2 linked regions of the Rattus norvegicus genome follow. The protein of the gene in region 1 purifies or fractionates together with the protein of each later gene. This does not show direct contact. Links are inferred from orthologs where the notes say so. Each region holds a gene or a part of one and is shown on either strand. Other genes may lie near its edges. The genes, in order: Prdm16 and Ctbp1.

Region 1 (10,163 bases):
AGTTACTGCACCTGTCCAGGCTCTCTAACCTTCTAACCTCTGGAGGAGGGGTTCCAAGGTTCCACACTCTTTCCCCCCTCTTTCCCAGTGGAGGGGATACCTGCCTGCCAGGGGCCAGCTCACACCTACCCTGGAGGGAGGGTGGAGGATACCCACAGGTACTTTGAGGGTCTCTTCCCAGGCTGCTGCTGAACAGAAAAGGGACAGGGCAACTCACAATGCACGTCACTGTCCCTACCCTGGATGGGCAGGGACACCTGTGTGTGCACTCTGGAGAGCCCAGGTTGGGCAAGGGAAGAGTAAACAGACAGTTGCTCACACTGGGTATTTCTGAGCCAGGTGGAGGGGGTCTGAAAATTCAGGCAGGAACAACCATGAAGCCAGAAAGTGTCCCCCAAGTAGAAAGGCACCCACATAGTAGCGTCTGGGTCATAGTCTCAAGTTGGTGCAGTTTGAAACCTGCTAACTACCGCTGGCCCATCATTTTCTATGAATTTGAGGAGAGAGAGAGAAAAACAGAGAGAGACAGACAGACGAGACAGAGACAGACAGAGAGACAGAGAGAGACAGGGAGAAATAGAGACAGACAGGGGGAAGGAGAGAAAAGGAGAGAGGGAGAGAGAAAGAGATTTCCTCCACCTCACGAAGTTCTTTCCTGAACTGAGAAGGTGCTACACAGCCTTCTACTGAGTGAGCTTCGGACCCCAAGGCTCGAAACCCGGTTTTGATTCAAAACCTGATAAGTTGTATTTAATGCTATTTGAAATTTTTAAACGAAATTACTGAAAAGATTTTTTTTTTAAATCCTGGATAATTTTGTTGAAACTCTAATTATACATAACCTTAATTACCAGTCCCAGCCCCCCCTCCCCTCAAGGACCCTAATTGCCTCCTAATTGAATAAAACAGAGGGCTAATCACACCCCACAGAAGCCCTGTAAGCAGTGGCAGCTGAGGCAGTGCCTCCCTCTGGGGAGGGAGCTCACACCACCCTTACCTAGCCTTTTGGTTCTCTGCCCCTAGCACTGCCCAGGTAGGGGTTTGGGGGTGTAGAAACTGCAGCACTAGCAGGGGATAGGAGGTCTAACCTGAACCTGTAGTTCCCAGGCCTCCAGACTGCTGGAGAAGCAGGCACCCCAAGTCAGTGGATGGTTAGAGACCCTGGGGCAGAGCCCTCCACCCCACCCCCAGCAGACCTATCCAACACCTGCTCTACAAACTAACTTTGGCAAGACCTGCACACACATACCAGGCCACTGATCCCTCTAACACTGGTCCGACAGCCCTGCCCTCCACCCCTGCAACAAGCGGGCTCCACCATTCGCCTAAAGCGGGCAAGACAATCAATTACCCCGCTCTCAGGTTCTTGCTGCTGTTGAAGCTCTCATCGGTCAGTTGCAGAGAAAAAGATTGTCCCCTGGGCTCTCACTACCCTGGGGAGGGTAGAAAGAGGACAAGAGCCAGCCAGCCTAGCCACCTGCCACCCACACCCCTGCATGTCTCAACGGGAAGGACTCAGGCCTGAAGCTGGGCCTTCGATCTTTCACACCGCCCTAACAATTCATAACCCTCAACATATGCAACACTCCAAGTCCCACACCCAGCAGAGTGGGATGTGTGGTATTTAGGACCAACGGGGTCTGTCACCTCCATAGAAATCGGGTCTCTAGGGTGGCTCTAGTAGGGATCCTAGCTATAGAGAGAGACCAAGCTGTGCTGTGTAGGTTCTAAAGGTCAGGAGGGCAGCATCACCAACTGAGCCCCCAACTGCCCACCTGGCTCACACCAGCGGTGGAACAATTACACTATTGTTAAGAATTTCGTTTTTAAATGTGGGGCCAAGGCAGCCTAAAGTCCTTACTGGCCAGCACTGGCCCAGGTTGAGTAAGGGGACCCCTTATCTGAACTGTTTTCGCTCTGCCCCCCTATGTAGGCCTCCCACCAACTGGATCTTAGTCCTCACTGGGGGTGCCTCGGAGACTTTAAGCCTTAGAAGGCTCAAAAGAAGCATCTACTCTGGGCCCTTAAATTCTACCAAATGAATCACCTAAAAGGCCCAGCTTGAGTAAGCCATGGAGACAGAGATCTGGAGTGGGATCGCCAGGAAATACAAACGAAATTATACCTCAAGATGCACACTCTGGGACAGCCCCACACCCAAGCCCTGTGTCCTGATGTTACATCCATTGGCCCATCCGTCCTTCTGTCCTCAGGACAGTCTCCATCACAGCTCAGGGGCCTGAGTACAAGGGCAGAACAAAACCCTGAACCACCATGACCTTGCTCCTTTCTCCTATTCCCTGACCCTGTCGGCCAGCCTAGGAGGCTTCTGGACTGGCTGCCGAGTGTCTGCTGGTCACCCTTGCTTCGGGTAATGGAATTAGGTTCCCAGGAGCCTTCCAAGGCCGCTTAAAATATTGTCTTATGGAATAAGAAATTCTTCAGTGAGCCCTGGGTTGTCTTCCATCCCGAGCTACTTCACCCATTTTCTTGAAGGGGCTTTGGTGGTAGCAGTAATAGTCACATAGCCTGGAACCGGGTCTCCAGAGTGACATTCAAACGGAGACCCTGGGTCTGTCGGGCAAGCTTCTGTGGGCTGTTTCCAAAATGTCCTGGAAGGAAACCGTGAACTGTGCACTCACACCGGTTGTGTCCTTCGTTTCTTGGCCTCCAAGGAAGGCCTCAAGATGTCGCCCGGCGCCCATTCCGGTCCTACGTAGGGCGGCCTGGGCCAGGTGACCTTCCCCACCTGGTGGAGGTAGAGCAGGAGGCCCAGCAGGGCGCCGAGCGGGTGTGGGCCTCTGGAAAGTTTCCGGGGCCGCGCTGGGTGCGCTGAGCCAGTCTCTCGCTTGCAGCGAAGGCGGCGACAAAAAGCACAGTCGCTCTACTCCTTCCTCTCTCCTCCCAGCTTTGGGTCCTTCCTCTGCGGCCAGAGCCTGACCATCCAGCCTGCAGCCAGGGGTCGAGACTTCCAGAGGCCACGGTGCACACCGTACTCTTAACAGCACCCGGTACACCCGCTCCGTGCGTCGTGGAGAGTCACCCAACACGTACACAGCCCCTTCGCATCCGCTGGGAACCTACTGCCCCTGTTCGCACCAAGAGGGGTCAGAGGTCATGGGTGGCCCAGAAGGCCGAGGTCAAGGGCAGCTGGCCAGGCAGCTCGGTGGGAAAGGGGCTCTTAACCGAGGGGCCACGAACTCCAAGGCGTAGCTCAGGGAAGCTTGGCAGAGGTTGGAAGTTGCTTTTCCCTGCAGAGTGGGCGCGTGGCCTAAGGCAGTCGGTCCGCCTTGGGGCCAAGTTCAGCAGGGTCCGGAGCTCAAAGTGCCTGACTTTTTCGGAAAACTATTGCGGATCCCACACCCGCTCGCTAGGCTCATGCTCTAAGAGTTCGGCTCTGGAAGCCGCGAGGTCCGGCCAGGCAGGATCCTGCCCGAGAAGCGCAGACCGAACGGCCTGGTGATCAGGCAGGGACCTGGAGCCCGCGTGCCGGGTGCCCCTTTCTCTGTCCCATGGTAAAAAAGGGGGCGGCCGGGACGAGCGACTGGGATCCTCTCCGCACAGCGCTCAACGCTTCGCTGGAGCCGGACCGTGGCCCGGGTTTTCGGAGCCGTGCTTCAACGGCCGCGCTGCAGCGGGTCCCCACCTGCTGGCTGCAAAGGATGAAGCCCCGGGCCCGACTTGTGCCGATGGCGCCGGCACCAGGGCGGAGGGCGCGTGGGCAGCTCCGAGACGAGGTGGCCATAGTGCGGACGGCGGGAGCCCGTAGGCTGCGGTGGGGACCAGCCCGCTGCCGGCTGCGCGCACAGCCCCAGGCGCGGCCCGAGGCGGAGCGAAAGAGAAAGTAAGCCCCGGGCCCGTGCAGCCTAGCTGGGGCATTGGTCCCTCTGGGGCTGGCGGGTGCCGAGGACAGCATGTGCGGGAGGGTCGGAGTGAGGCCAGGCGAAGCAGGGCGGCGGGTAGCACGGCGGCCAGTGGGGACCCCGCTGCCGGAGGCGCCGGCACTGGGCGACCCGAGAGAAACGCGAGGATCACAGAGGAGCGCCGGCCACCACGCGGGGCACCACTTGGGAATAAACTTCACCAGCACAGTTTCGAGCGCAGGAAAAAGTCTCCATGTTGCTTCCCCGGCGGCTGCGGCCGTCCTGCCCTTGCTCCCGGGGAGCCCGGTGGGCGCCGGCCCGCGCCCCCTCCTCCGCCCCCTCCCCGGCTCAGGGTCTCCCTCCTCTGAGCCCGGCTGGCGGACGCCAAAGGCGGTGCTCTAGCGCCCACTATTTCAAAAGCCCGGAATATGATTTGACCAGGACTGAGAGCCACTCGGAGAGAGAGGGAGAGAGCGAGCGAGAGGAAAAGTTACTCTCCCCTTTCGTCAACTTTTCGCTAACTTTCGCTTTTCTCGCTCCTCCACCCCCGGCCCTCCCCCTCCGCCCCCCTCCCCGGCCCCCACCGCGCGCCTCGGGTTCCCGGGCCCGAGCGCCTGACACTGTGGGGGGGAGGGGGTTCGGCGGGGAGGGGGCCGGCGCCTTCGGGGAGCGCGCGGCCCGGGCGCCCCGAGCCTCCGCGCCGAGCCCGGCCGCCCCGGAGCGCGGGAGGCGGAGCACCCCCGGGCCGCGCGGTCGACCGGGGGCCGGAGCCGCGGGCGCGCCGACCGCGCCCCGACGCGCACCCCTGGCCCGGGTACCCTGGCCCCGCGGCCCGGGCCCGGCGACGCGGCGCGGTCGAGCGCGGGAGACTTACTTTTGGCTAGCTTCCTCGCCCTCGCCTTGGATCGCATGGTGTCGGCTCGCGGAATCTCTCTCCTCCTCCTTGAGCCCAGAAGCAGCTACACACTATCTTCATCTCCCTAGCATTGTCAGTTTGGACACCTTCGCACATGCGCACAGAGCACTCAATCTGACACCCCTCGCCGGGGCCAAAAAAACTTTGCAATGTGTTCATCATCCTCTTCGTCGCGCCGCCGCCGCCGCCGCCTCGGCGCGGGATTGGGGGGCTCTCCGAGGCCTTCTCGGTCTTCACCTCACTTCTCTCTCTCCCCCCTCCCCCCCCTTTTCAGCGCAGCTCTGAACTGGCCCTTTAAGAAAACATTCCTTGCTCGTCGCTCCCGCCCGGGGCCCGCACCCCGGACACTTTAAAAGGACCCAGGTAGCCCTGGAGGCGAGGTGACGGTCCCCCCGCCCTGGCCCTGCGCTGCGCAGCGCTGTGGCTCCTACCCAAGCCCAGCCTCAGAGGAGACTGGCCCGCGGCGGGTTTCTGCGCGACTTCCTTCGATCTCCCGCAAAGGCGCTGATAGTTCGGACGCGGGTCCGGGCTGCTTTTGCAGCGTTTTATTGCGTTTTATTACTAATTAAAAAGCTTTCGTTCGTCGTCGCCCCAGAGCTCTCTCCTCCCGAACTGCCCTCGGTCCCTGCCCGCACCCCGCACTCGCGGAGGGGGTGTCGGGGCCAACGCGCCCGATCCCGGCTCCTCCGAAGCCCCCGCCGCCCGCCGCCCCCCGCGGGCCTCCCGCCCCCAGCCCCTCCCCCCGCCCCCACCGGGTGGCTGCAGCTTCGGGTTCCGAGGCTCAAAAACAAACAGCCGAGGCGCCGCCAGCTCCGAGCTCTGCCACCGCCCGGGACGCCGAGCGGCGCTGGAGCCGTCGGTCCTCGGTCGGGCGCGGCGGCTGAGGCCAGCGCGCTCCGCGTCGGGGGGCGGCGGCGTCAAGGCCGGCATCTTGCCCTTGGCGTCCCGGGGTGTCCCGCACCTCTGCATCTCCGGGGTGGGCCCGTGCGCTCCGGTCTCCGCGCCCTCTTGGGCTGCGGCCGCGGCCCCCAGGTGAGTACCGGGTGCGGAAGCGCTGGAGCTAGCCCCTTTCGGGAGCTGGGGTCTTTTCTGGACACTCCCCTCCGGCTTCTACCGGCCCAGGTGCCGCTAGGGTTGGGGAACCCGAAGCACAGGTGGAGGAGTGCGGGCAGGAAACTGGCCGCGCTCTATCCTTGAAGCCTTCACACTCCAAGCTCAGGCCAGTGAGGGGCCTGGCTGGGCAAGAGCAGGGTGGCCCCAACTAAGAGGCCATACAGGGTGAGTGTAGATTCCCCCTTCGGGTACGGCTACGGTTTGAGTTTGAATTGGAAACAAACGGAGGCGCTGCGGGACTGGGTCACTGCCCTGGGCGCCCTCCCCGAACACCAAGGTCCCTCCAAGGCAACAAGATTCAGTGCTGTCACGATGTCACCTGAGCCCTCGCAGGGGTGGGCGCCATTTGGGTCTTTCTGCTCCCCAGGTGAGGCTTCTCGCCGTCCTCACCCCTTCTTTGTTGTGACTGGTCTCCTAGTACTAAAATCTGCACACCAAAATCCCGTTAAAACAGCAATCCCCCAGAGTCCTCCCTATAGATTCCCTCACCCAATGGAGAGTGCTGTTGGGCCCAAGCTACCCCAGAGAAGAGCTCCAGAGCTGGCGGCAGCGACTGCCCGCTGACTGCCTAAGGAGGCACTTCCCTGCGGAGATTCGGACCTATCTGAGGAGCCCACCGCTTCGGGTGCCTAGCCCTGCACCCAGCTGGCTGCACAGATGGAGGCCCTGTTGTGGGAAGGCCTGGCTCTTCCCCCTTTCTCAGTCTCTACCTGGGCTAAGTCACAGATCTACTCAGTTTATAGCAGTAGGTTCTGGGAGTCGTGGTGAGGGACTTCCATTGCAGACCGGAGGGACCACTGCAGCTCTTGGTGGATCTTGGAGGGCCCCCGAATCTGCTCACCCCCACGGGGTGGTGACGGAGTCCAGCAACACAGGAGATACTGCTCAATCTTGGCCCCGATGGCCTCTAGTCCGTGGTGAGCATACCCTGGGTTAAGCAGCACAGCAAAGAAGGCTCAAGGTCACCTAGAGGTGTGGCACCCTAGGTGTCCCTTGAGATTTGGAGAACACCAGGAAAAACACAAAGATGCTAATCAAAAGCTCTGCTGATGTGGGGCCCTGATCTTCCCCACCCTAGCCCAGCCCTGGCTTCTTTTTCTCTAGACTTGAAGGCTGCCGGGGGTCCCCCCCCCAACCAACACACACACACACACACACACACACACACACACACACACACACATAATGGTCCTACTTCTAGGGTGTCCAATTCACTCAAGTCCCCCTTCTGGTCCCATCTCCACTCAGGGGCACACAGAATTCTGGCCAGATTGCACCAGATCAGTCTAGGATGGGAGCAGGCAGCTGACCCTTGCTGGCCCGAGGTGTTGGGAACTAGCTGTAGCGAGTCTTTCCTGCTCTTGGCTGCCAGCCTCTGAGTTTGGGGGATGACCTGCCTGGGGAAGAAGCCTTGGAACTGAGGCTGACCAGGAACCCCTCAGGTGTTGCGATGGTTCTTAGGTGCTGGACCTTCCGGTCTGGGAGAGCCTTGGCCTTGGCCAGGCCCTGCCCCCACGTGGCCAGACTTAGAAGCTAAGCGGTCCGACGTGGAGGAATTCCTCAAGGAGAGCGAGAAAGCACAGAAAATCAGACAGAGGTCCCCTAGGAGGCCTTCTTGTATTTCCATCCCACCAAGAAAATTTTTTGGCAGGGATGGGAGTCGACACTTAGAGGAACAAGTGTGGGCAAGTGGAAGTCCTGTGGGGGGGGAATGGCTATTACTAAATGCTTCAAGAACAGTTTTCAAACCGAGTCAAGCTCTGGGGAGCTTGGGGACCATACGCTCCGTGGTGAGAAGTGCTGCCACTTCACTCCCTGTTTGGAGTAACTCCCTGCACGAACAACTGCTCCTACTGCCTAACTTCATTGCTGGTAGGGGAGTGGTGCCAGTAGAGAGACTTCCACCAACTTCCCTTCTGCTCCAAACCAGAGATGCCCACCCCTTCTAACCAACTGAGAAAGAGGCTGTGAACCTCATCAGATCACTCTTGGGGACCGGAGAAGGACCAGACTAAGGGAGTGGTCCTCGGTCACTTAGGGAGCTCTGACTCCTCCGGCTCCTTCCTACTACTAAGGTCCACAAAGTCCCTTTCTGTCGCCACACCCCGTCCCAGGCCTCCTAGGGGAAGCCAGCCTTTGGAGAAGTGCAGGGGTCAGAACTGGCACCTTTACCCTTGGTGTGCACGTGAGTGGAGATTCACTACAGCCCCTTGTGCAGCCTGGCTAGACTACCAGAGTCTCTTGTCCATTTTCCTCTCGGTTCTTCCGCCCCCACACGCTCAGTCGCTACCTCCCGCTGTGGCACTGCAGGTCCCCTCTGATAGAAAAGAAAATATAAGCACCTCTCCTTCCCTTGCCACGTGTTATTCCCAGGCAAGCTGGAAGTGTCCTGGGAGGGATCTTTGTCAGACTACGGGTCCTCACCCTACTGTGGCACATGAGCCACCAAGCCAAGATGGATGAGGATCCCCTCACCACTGGGAGTGTTTTTGTCTTCCATGTCTTTGGTGGAGGTGTTGGTTAGAACAGAGACAGGGGCTAGGAGTCACCTTCCTGCCTGAGGCAAGGAGATCGCCTATAGATAGGTTCTAACATTAGGGTGCTTGGGATAGGGTACAAAACACCCAAAGAACTGTCCCCATGCAGGTCTAGGGAGTGGCTCCAAGGGGGGCAGGTAGCACCCATCTTCATTTTATGTGCTCTACCCTGGAGCCATTTTGAGATTCCCCTTTGCCGGTGTGCCCTCCTAGCTCCAGGGAACCTTGATGTGACCTGGATGACCTTCAGAACAGGACAGTGATCGGAATTTCCCGTCCAAGGGGTTCTCTGAAGATTTGGGACCTCCCAGGGTCAATACCAGTTTCTGGTTCCAAAGTGGGTTTCTGGGAGGTGTGGGGTGCTCTCCACCAAGACTTCGAGGAATGCAACCTTGTAGCCGATCTCAAACCCCACATGTTCAGAAACGGACTTCTTTGTATCACAGGGTGACTTCTGTTCCTTTTCCACTGGTCTTGTCCTAGAGGCCTGTGTAGGCATCCTTGCACGGGTGCTGAAGCCGCCTAAGGGATTCCAGCAGAATTTCACCGTCCTGAGCCCCTGCAGTGGTGACAATTAGGAGTTGATTCGCCACTCGCCTGCACACTTGGTCTCGTAGACACAGGGAGATTGGGCCTGAAATCCCTCACCCTCTTCCCTGTTTGAGTTCAGAAGGGAGTTGGCTTTCACATCTTGAGGAAAAGATGTGCTCTCCAGAAGGCATAGGAAGCCACCAAGGACTCCTTCCTGCCTGAAGAGAGAAGTGTGCGGGATCAAATACAGAGAAACACCCCCCACTCCTTACAACTGCACTAAGGCTACAGCCACCGGGAGAGCTATAACAATCGGAATTGGAATTGGTTTCCCATGCTCTTCCTCATGATTTCCCCAACCCTTACAAAATCCACCAACGAATATAGATCTGAGGCTCTCACCAAGAGTGTCCTTGAGGCACGTACTGGTCTGCGACCATGCAGCGGTACAGCTAGTAGGTCCCTTCCCTCCACCCGTGCTCACCAGCAGCAACTTCGTTGCAGGTAATGCCTTGGAGCTCTGGAGCCCAGTAGTGCGCTGAGCCCATTGAAGCCGCGTGGCACCCGCTCGCGGCTCTGCGCACTGCCAGCCTAGGATGCTCCCGCTTCTAGCGAGCGCAAGCAGGGAGGGCCCCGGCAGCAACGAAAGCGCCAAGCTGTGAGTCTCTCAAGCCTAGAGGCTCGGAAGCCATAGTGCGCGGAGCGCAGTGATGTCCAGAGCTATGTGGAGCGAGGTAGCCCAGTCTACTCAACTGATTTTGAATCCGAAACTACATTTCGTTTTGTAGAGTCGCCTACTACTTAATGATTCAGTGGCAGACTCGGCCGGCCCGTCGTACAGCTGACACTCAGTTTGGAAACCAAATTTTGCATTTGGGATTGTGTGGCGCTGCACTCCACAGCTGCAACTAACTGGTGGGAGCTGCTAGGTGATTTCCCTCCTTCGGTTATCCTTCTGTGACTTGGGGCCATTCGTCCTTCTCTTCAGAGTTCTGTGTGATTGATTGGCAGGCAAGAACGGTTAGTTCCAGGGCCAGGCTGAGGGCTAGCAGGCGCAGCCCACCCCCATGAGCCACAGTTTAAGCCCAAGAGGAGTGGTGCTCCGAGAGGAATTTCCCCTTCTTCCTGTGGGACTATCTGCACATCCCTGTGCACTCCCGGCTCCCTCTCTCCTGCCTTCCCCAATCCGTGTTGGGTAGAGGA
Region 2 (9,396 bases), on another chromosome or scaffold:
CAAACAGCAGTGAGAGAGTGGGAACTGAGTACCACCTAAGTAGGACAGAAGTAGGCCCTGAGGTCATACCACTCAAGTCTTTGGAGCTGTGGGGTACACATGTACCAGGCCCACAGCCCCATGACACCAACAGTCAAAGGTGCTATAGCCAGAGCACACCCTCAAGGTGGTGCTTCAGTAATAACATGTCAGTTACAGCGTGTGTATGTAACTGTATACATATCTAAGCGTGTCCATGTGTATACCCTATCTGTTTCATCCACATATAATATACACACGTGCCCATGCATGAATGACCTCCATGGATGGCACCTGTGAAAGACATAGCCTAGTGTCTTCAGCCCTGCCCCTGGACTTTCTATCCTATGTCCTATCCTGAGCTGAGGATAGCAACACAACCAGAAAGTCCGGGGCCTCAACTTTATGAAGTGCAAGGGGGACAGACAGACAAAGGCTATTTGTGCTGAGTCACAGTGGCCAACGCACCTAGTCCAATGATGCCCAAGGTCTCTCCACGGATCCTGGCAGCTCCTGAAGCCACCTCTCGGATCTGCTCTACACTCTGGACCCGAGTGCCTTCCCGAAGTGCCTGGTGTAGCCAGGTAGTTCGTCGGTATAGGTTCAGAATGTGGCACAGGGTGGAGTCTGCTGTTTCTTCCACAGATGCTGCTGGTACATTGCACACTGCGATGCCTAGAATACACATGGAGACACATGTACCAGGCCCACAGCCTCCTGTCATCACAATCAGAGGTGCTGCAGTCAGAGCGCAACCTCAGGGTACTGCTTCAGCAGAAACACATCAGAAGACACATCCCACAGCCACCAGATAGGACTACCTGTCTCTATCATTGGGCATACTTAAACCTGGAGTCACAGCCTTGTACAACAAAGATGTGACAACCAACAAGCAAACAGACAGAGCAGGGACAGCTAAGTGCTTCTCTGACCATCCCTAGCCTGAATAGTCTGGATGTGCAGGTGACCAATCCCATCAGTACTCATTTCTTCCCCGCGTGGATCACTGGGCACTCAAAATTCCTAAGCAGCCATGGCCATACTGGCAAAGGGCCAGTGCCAAGGTGCATCTTGGGACTGGCCGGCCCCCACCTGTTGATACTACATGAATCACAACTTCCAGATCCCCAGAGCTTCCAAGGCCAGGAATGCCCTGACTTCAGAGCTCAGCAATGCCCACTGTCCTGGGAACAAGTCAGATGGGGCTTCTCTTTCCTAACCTCAGTGCCCCAATTATCCCAAGAGCCCAAGCTCAGGCACTGTAAGCTGACACAGTCTGTGCTGCCTTGGGCTGCCCATGGTCCTTGTCCTCAGAGGAGGATCCCACCATCCCACCATGAGCCCATCCTCTACAGTGGCCACAAGTCTACTTCCCACCTTGGCTGGATACTTCTGCCTGTGCTTCTCACTGAGGTGCTGGGACAGGACTGTTTTTGTAGAAACTATCTTAAGAATTAGAGGTACCTGACACAAGAGGAGCCAAGACAGGACCCACACATCCTCTAGAAACAACTCCCTTGAAATAAGCAAGGGAACATGGAGCAGTAGTAGGTAGCCTGGAGGCTCAGAAACAAAACTGACCCCTGAGAAGACATAAGGCAAACAAGACACAGCCCTTCCCGTATCTGGGCCACAGTGGCGGCACTTGGCCATCCCTAGCTCAAGAGTCGAGCCTGTGAGCTCTATAGAGGGAAATGGTGGGGCCTTGCTGAGGAAAGGCCGGCCAGCTTCTGGCCCCTGTGGCATGCCAGGCCAGCATGAACCAACAGAACAAGACGGACTTTCCCACCACACTACTCAAGTTCTCAGCTGCCCGTGGTTCCCCAGACAGCCTTAAGGAACAGAAGGCAGAATGATGTCAACAGCAGACACTGGAGACTGCAGCCTTGCTTTGTCAGTTGGCCACTAGCACAGAAACAGGCTAAAATGGCTAAGTATGGCCATACTGCTTCAGTAAAACTGCATACACAGATGCAGAGTCATGCATATGTGTACAATTTGAGCACACATGGCTTCATGTGTGTACAAGTATGACTATGGCACATAGTCCCTGTTCTGGGAAGAGGACAATGACCTCTCTGACTGGTCCCTTGTTTCAGCCTAAACCCTAGGCCTGGCCAGTTGGTGACAACACAGTGAATAAAGTTACACCCATGTCCTGTGCAGACCCCCACAACCTGTCCTTCCCATAGCCCCAAATCATCTTCAACCCAAGGAGCAGTCCCAGCAGGCTGGGATTGCCCAACAGAGCCTGAAGGTTAAATGAGACACCCTGGTAAATGGAGACAGGGGCTTCAGAGCTCCTACCTAGATCACCAGCTGACTTGATGTCTATGTTGTCAAACCCGCTGCCAATTCGGACGATGATTCTGAGAGCTTTAAACTTCTCCAGATCTTCTCTGGTCAGTGTGATGGTATGGTACATCAGGGCGCCCACTGCCTCATTCAGTACCTGCATGGAAGGAAAACAGGTTGCTTACTAAGCTGTCCAGGACCCACCAAAGGTACCCAAAGGCTGAGTGGCCAGCCAAAACAGTGGGGCATGGGAGGCAGAGGGGACACAAGGGAAGATACTGGGAACACCATGCAGGGACAGCTGTGCTCTCTCAAGAACAGCTCTCTCAGAAGAGCAGCATGTCACCATTAAGAGACTCAGCAGAGAGGCTGTGGATGGTGTGCAAAGGCAAAGACTACTAGCACCACCTGCCAACAACCAGACTCCATGCCCAAAACAATGAGGCCCAGTCCTCACCAGTCTCCGTGAAGAAGTGTGAAGAGCACCCATGTTAACGAGCACACTCAGAAGCACGTTATTGGGAGTGGCAGGGCCAGCCTCTAGAGGGCGCTACATTCTGTAATAAGCCAACTCTGGCACCTGTCCTCCTCCACACAGGTCCTGCCGGCTGGTCTAGTTAGCTGTGGGGCTGAGGTAACGTGTGGGATATGGAGCTGCTTCAGTTTGTCCACAGCTATTAATTATGCTCTAGGAGAGGTATGACCTTTGTCAGCTGCAGATAGCTTAATTCTGGGGACTCTGGAGAAGGAATAAATGCCAGAGCCCCGAGAGAGGCCAGAGGTACTCCAAAGACAGCAACTGCTGATTGGACTGGCACCAAGAAACACAACATCCCTAATCAGCAGGAAGTAGTCTAAAGAGGTCTACACCCCCTTACCTCTTTGATCTTCTTTCTCTCCTCACTTGTGTTGGGGGTTGGAAGGGATTAGGGTGGAATAAGAGTCGGAAGAGAGGTAAAGACATAAGAACATAATAAGACAGCTAAAAAAAAAAAATAGTGCCATAAGGCATCCTTCTGGGGCAGTGGGCTGCTCCCCGGGGAAAGGCTGATGCAGCCTCTCTTTTCTACTACACAACCTCAATAGCCAGGTGCATGGCCTAGAATGCAGACAGCTGTCACTGAGGCAGAACAGCCTTCGCCTGTCATGAAGAACCCTAAGGGCAAATACAGGGACAGCCTCCCCACTCATTTTGGGTCCAGGGAACATTTAGACTACTATGCATGGAAGACGCAACTAGGAGCTGAGGGAAGATCATAAGAAGCTAAAACAGGGGTCTCTGGGATGCTAGGGTGAGTGGCATAAGTTTGGGGGCAAAGACTCATGGTTGCCCCTGTCTTCAAGGAGGGAATTGGGGCCACATATGCCCCAATTATACTTAGACCTGTATAGAAAAGCGGTCACCCATTTGACAGTGGGATGTCATGGAGAACCCATGTGGGGAAGAGTGAAAGGGGAACAGACAGCTGAGGCAGCCCAAAGCATAGGAATAAGGGAAGATTTAGGGACGTCATTGACTACTTTGTGCTGTATGGACTTCAGATGGTCAGTCACGAGCACAGGAAGGACCTGGGACAGCTCCGTAGAACAGGTGAGGCTGGGGAAAGTAGAGATCAGTTCCACATAATGGTTATCTGTTGAGGCCCATGGCAGTTAGAGCAGTGCAGACCAAATGGAAAGATCTCAGGGTAGCATTAGGATGGGTCTGTAGTTTTGGACAGATTTAACACCTGACATGTACCAGGTGCTGACAGATTTAACACCTGACAACCAAATACTCATGGGTCCCTCACTATGTGTGCAAAGGGTTGACTGTGGACAGGACAGATACATACGCTAGATACCTATGTTGTGTATGTGTCACCATGCCTGCTTTTTACCCTCAGCACTTAACCATGAGACTACCGGCTTTCAAAAGTATATTTCAACGCACTGCAGAACGTACCAACAGGGAAGGGGGAATCAAAGAATCTGAACTTCCTACTGCACTGAGTGCTACCAGTGATACTCTTCCTTGATAAAAGCTAGTGAATTCATTTCCTTGTATTAATTTCTTAGAAATGGAAGGTCCTTTGAGGCTCTAGGCACTGTTGTCCAACTGCCAACTGACATGCTGATATCAACCCTGGGTTTTCTGCAACTAAAATACACCCTACTGTTTGTTCATCTACTACTGGTGCATGAATTTGCCTTCCTGGGTGAAATCTGCCTATGTTTCTCTCTGAATTTTTTTTTCATGGTGTCTTTTTTTTGTACTTAGTATGAAGTCACCTGTGCCCAGATGCAGGACAAAAGCATACTAGGGGTGAGCTTGCTAGACAGTGGGCAGAGGTCTACAGCCCAGGTCACCACCAACACCCAGCCTGTACCTCTTCTATGGGTGCTTCTGGGTCTGTCCACTTAGGATAGGCCTCCAAGAAACTATCCTTTGCAAGCAGCTCAATCTCCTCATCCATCAGCTGTGTAACCAGGTTAGAGATCGGACCCTAGTGGACTTGGTCCTCAACACCAGAATGGAAGAATCTGGGTCCCAGATGTTCAAAGCAGGCAGAACATACGATGAATGACTAATGTAGGTCAGCTATCTTTGGCTGGAAATGGGTCCTGAGTGCACCCAGTGGCAACAAGTTCTGAACGAAGCATATGCCCCAAACCACGAGGTTTCATGGTCAGGGCAACCTCCTGCTGAGAGAACACTGAAACTCCAAACCAACCGGCATGGTTTTATCACCTGGTATGAACAGCAACAGCTATCATATGAAACTGCAGCTCTTCCCACCTCACCATCACGCCAGATATTTTCCTGCTGACACAGTCAAGCTGCAGACTATCCAACTTCACAGACACCTGGGGTCCTTGCAGCTGTCCTGCTCCACAGAAGGAAGTGGCATCCAGGTCTCCTACCGTGTGAATTTTGAGTTTTCATGGGGCCAGAAAGGGACTTGCTCAGTGGTTAACATAAGCAGTACTTCTCTGGCCAGCTCTCTGCAAGGACTCCTTTTCCGACTGGGAGAGCATGAAGACCTCACATGTGGTGCCCTTGGGCCAGGGCACAAAGGGCTCGCTTGACCTCGCTGAATCTTACTGCTGCTGACTTTCCCTCTGAGTATTTGGAATACCTACAGATTCCTTCTGAAGTTGCATTAAGTCTCCTGCTCTTCCAACTGCTGCCATCCAACCAGAAACCATCCCAGGCCTGGATCTTAGTTCAACAGCACTTTGCCCAAATACCTGAGGGCCACACACGTCCCTTGGTTCCCTGCTTTGTTCCATCAAAGCATAAGCAATGGGTCTCAGAGTCTCGGGCCCTGGTGACCTGTGGCAATGGACTCCTGCACACAGTGAAACCCTCTCCTCTCAACGTCTGTCCTGATTCCAGATGTGTCTACAGCTTGAGCCCAAGGTCATATTGCAGCCTGCTGGTCATATTAAACACTTCTGCCCACTTTTTTTTTTTTGAGCATCTTAGGTGTAAGAGACTTCCTCTAGCCTGGGGTGTTCTCTACCCATGGGTCATAGAGCGTCATTCTCCCATCTCCACAGGATCCCTTCGGAGACATCTACTCCCCTAAGTCCTCACTTAGCACATGCTGAGAGCCGTGTCCCTGGGTTCCTCCTGGGCTCCATACAGCCCTGGGCTAAAGATCATTTGGCTGACAAGTTGTACAGCCCAGGGATGCTCTGAGATTTCTGCCACAAGGTGACTTTCTCACATCCACAGTCCCTTTAATACTCCTCCTGGATCCACGTCAGAAGAGCCAAGGTCTCTGTAAAGTTTTCTTCGTCATGTGCTTCACTGACACTTAAGGTGCTCATGTGCATTGCAGACAGCCACACCCAGCCAGTTGTGAGGACTTTTTGCTCTAAAAAGGTGGAAATTATCATACAGCAAAGATATATAAGACAATTCTCTCCTTTCCACACCTAGAGACAGGTGTGATTCCACATGCCCTATTGCATTTTCAGTTATTTGGGTACCATTCTCCTGTCTTGTGGCTGTGCCATTCTCTGTATATCCCTTACCTCTTAGAGTACAAGGTTTCTGCCCAAGCTTCAGCCATCACACCCAATTTCCAGCCAGCAGAAAGAGGAAAGGTGATTTCCCTCAGTGACATGTACGCCAGGTGCTATGTGCCTGTGGTCATACCTTGCCTGGGCCAGAATCTGTGGCAGGATACACTGCCCAGCATGTCACCACAGGACACTGAGTGGTGTCCAGTTTGGCTACTGTGAATCAGGTAAGGTATGACTTGAATGCAGGTCATGTCTGCTAGGACAGTGGCCCCCAGTATGGTTGCTGGCATGCTATAAGGGTGTGTAACAGTATAGAGTACACTGACTACTGCCCACGCCATGCTACAGGCTCAAGGTCCTTAATTCACAGTTTCCTGTTGTGTGGGGAATCCATCTACCACTGTATTCTCAGTCTGTACAGCAGCTCCCCCTGAGCCCTGTGTCTCATTAACTTACCTGCTCCTTGCTCCTACTCCCCTCCTATTTGCCACTCTTCCCCCAAGGCCTAAGAATCAAGACTTCTGACCTCTGCTTGCTTGCTTGCTTCTATGCCCTAAGTGATAATTTTTACTTTTAGCTTTAGTGTCTTGAAGCCCTGTGTTTTCAACTTTGTTCCTTCACATCTACCTCATGACCTTCAACATGACAATCTCAGTTTTTCTCTTGGCGGAAGGCAGTCCATCCCGTAGTCAGACTGGGTCTCCCGTAGATCAGAAGCTCTATTCTACTCACAGAGTCTTACCTTCTTATAACTGATTGTCTATACAGAAGTGACAAGTACCCAAGGACTACAGACATGCACTGGGCTCAGACTGAAATGACTGTCCCAGATACTCTGCAGCCACTGGGAAGCAAGGCTGTAGGTTCACTACATGCTAAATCCCATACCTGGCAGACTTAGAAGGCTGAGTAGTAGGCTATGTGAAAATAAGTTCAGATATGGGTTTCACTGCCCTCTGGGTTTGAGGCAACATCTGCACCCAGCCTTTGAGGCCATAGTGCTGGCAAGAACAGAGCTCACCGGTCTTCCCAGTGAAGCAAGTCTCAGGCTAACCATGCAGACCATCCATATCAGCAGGTGCCAGGTCCCTTGTGGTTTCAATCCCTGTCAGCTCCTGAAGCTCTTTAGACTGTTTTAAGAACATTTTCAAGCTGTCTTCAATACAAAGTATGAATTAACTTTGATACAAGCAGAAACTAAATGAATACATTCCAGGTAACAAAGAAACACAGCATATCTGAGCAAACATGAATCACAGAAGCTGCTCAGAGCTGCTAACCACCCGACCACAAGCTCTAGGCAGGCACTGGGTGAGGATATCGGTCCTTTTTTCTGTATGCCAGGTAGCATCAAGCACAATCACTGCCAGGTGCCCACAGTTCCGCTTCCAATGAACTGGCTATGATATATGTCAAGAAGCTACAGAGTAAGCCATCTCTACACCTCCTGACCAGGCCAGGCACAGGGACAGGCCACACAAGACCAGGTGGTATTCAGACCCACTGTGGCCAGAGGCCAAGGAACAGGCTGTGTGCTGACTCAGACTGCAGCCTGAGGTTGCCTGGCTCAGGCTCTGGAGTCCCCTACACCCCCATAAAGATTAGCCAACTATTACTAGGTGCATATGACACTACCTTCTCATGGATCTCCTGTGTGGACTGCGCATCACAGAAGGCTACTGTGGCCACATCCTTCAGGATAGGCATCTCCACTGTGCAGTCCCGGCCATCCAGCAGCGCCACCAGGGGCCGGGGGTGCATGGGCCCGTTCATGATGGGAGGTCGGACGCCTGCAAGAGAGGAGCAGACTACTTAATGCCCTTGGCAGCTCCAGTCTGTGACCTGAGGGCAGTACTACCCACTCGAGTTGGAAAGATCAGCCCTGAGGACTTGCTGTACTCAGCACCTGAGTTACATGGGGTTACATGGGGGCTTTGTAAAAAGCAAATTAAAACTGAGAAGGAGAAAATAGTTTTCTATAGCTTACTGATGACTGAGTAGACTCAGTCCATCAATCCCTCAAGGGCATAGGACCTAAAATCCTTGTAGACCCTAGGGAGGCTGTGGTAGACAGGAGGTCAGGGGAGGTAGGAGGCACCTCCACCCTGACTCCCTACAGCCATAGGCTGTCTTGTCAACACAGGAATGTGCAGATCACAAAATGATTCGATTCAGGAAAGTGCCTGGTTGCTCTTTGATGCCTAAAACCACCATGTGACTGCCCAGAACCCCACAAAGTGACCACAGAGTGATGTTTTGCATATGACCTTAATTAATATCATTCCTAGTGTAGATTTCAAAGGCTAAAAACAGTGAAGACAGTGAAGAAAAAAAGGGGGGCAAGCAGGGGTAATGACACTCTCAGATCCCTCCTCCCAGATCAAGGTGAGAAAGAACCTTAGGCCTGGAGTGCAACTCAGGAGCATCTGTCTAGTGGGTGTGAGGCCCTGGGTCTGATTCCTAGCTCCATCAAAGCCTTTGTGGATACAAAATCAGTTTGTTCCCAACATGACACACTAAACTAGACCCCACCTGGGGCCAAATACAGGAGCAAGGATTTCCCAGGTACTGTCTGGCCACCTCCAGCTGGGCAGCAGACACCTTAAGGAGGCTAAAGGTAGGTCCATGGTAGCAGGTAGCACAGCACAAGGCAGGACTTTGTCCAGCCCTTCCAAAAGCTGACCAAGGCACAGTGAGAAGTGGAGGACAAGAAACAAGTCACCACAGTCTTGTGCTGAGCAGGCCAGAGGGAGCCCGCAGTAGTTGCTGACTAGCAGCAGCCTGTGCAGTCCACACTCACCTTTCTCGCCTTCAGTTACAGAGGCTACCCCAAACTTCCAGTGCCAAGAAGTGCCTCAAAGAATCCATGTCACATAAAGACAATGCTCTAGGGACTGTCACACCCATGTACAGCAAGGCTCTATGTGTTCCCAGGCTTGGACCTGGGTACCTGGGCTGACACAGGTCTCACCGACCACCCAGAGACAATGGAGTTACCTTCTAGACAACACTAAGCCCAAGATCTCCAGCTGTGGGATAGAGGTGTTGCTATACAGAACCCTTCCCAGG

Evidence for each region.
Region 2: the proteins of Prdm16 (region 1) and Ctbp1 purify together in Homo sapiens (affinity purification with mass spectrometry; 3 studies listed by BioGRID and IntAct, with this or other methods). This does not show direct contact. The link is inferred for Rattus norvegicus from reciprocal best matches to the Homo sapiens genes PRDM16 and CTBP1.

The regions. Positions count from the first base shown.
Region 1 is NC_086023.1:170,480,974-170,491,136, forward strand, and holds the start of Prdm16 (PR/SET domain 16), read right to left. Parts: upstream 4,832-10,163; 5' UTR 4,775-4,831; coding exon 4,738-4,774; intron 1-4,737. UniProt on the Homo sapiens protein: Binds DNA and functions as a transcriptional regulator. Displays histone methyltransferase activity and monomethylates 'Lys-9' of histone H3 (H3K9me1) in vitro.
Region 2 is NC_086032.1:81,686,348-81,695,743, reverse strand, and holds part of Ctbp1 (C-terminal-binding protein 1), read right to left. Parts: intron 8,118-9,396; coding exon 7,963-8,117; intron 2,471-7,962; coding exon 2,326-2,470; intron 694-2,325; coding exon 487-693; intron 1-486. UniProt on the Homo sapiens protein: Corepressor targeting diverse transcription regulators such as GLIS2 or BCL6. Has dehydrogenase activity. Involved in controlling the equilibrium between tubular and stacked structures in the Golgi complex.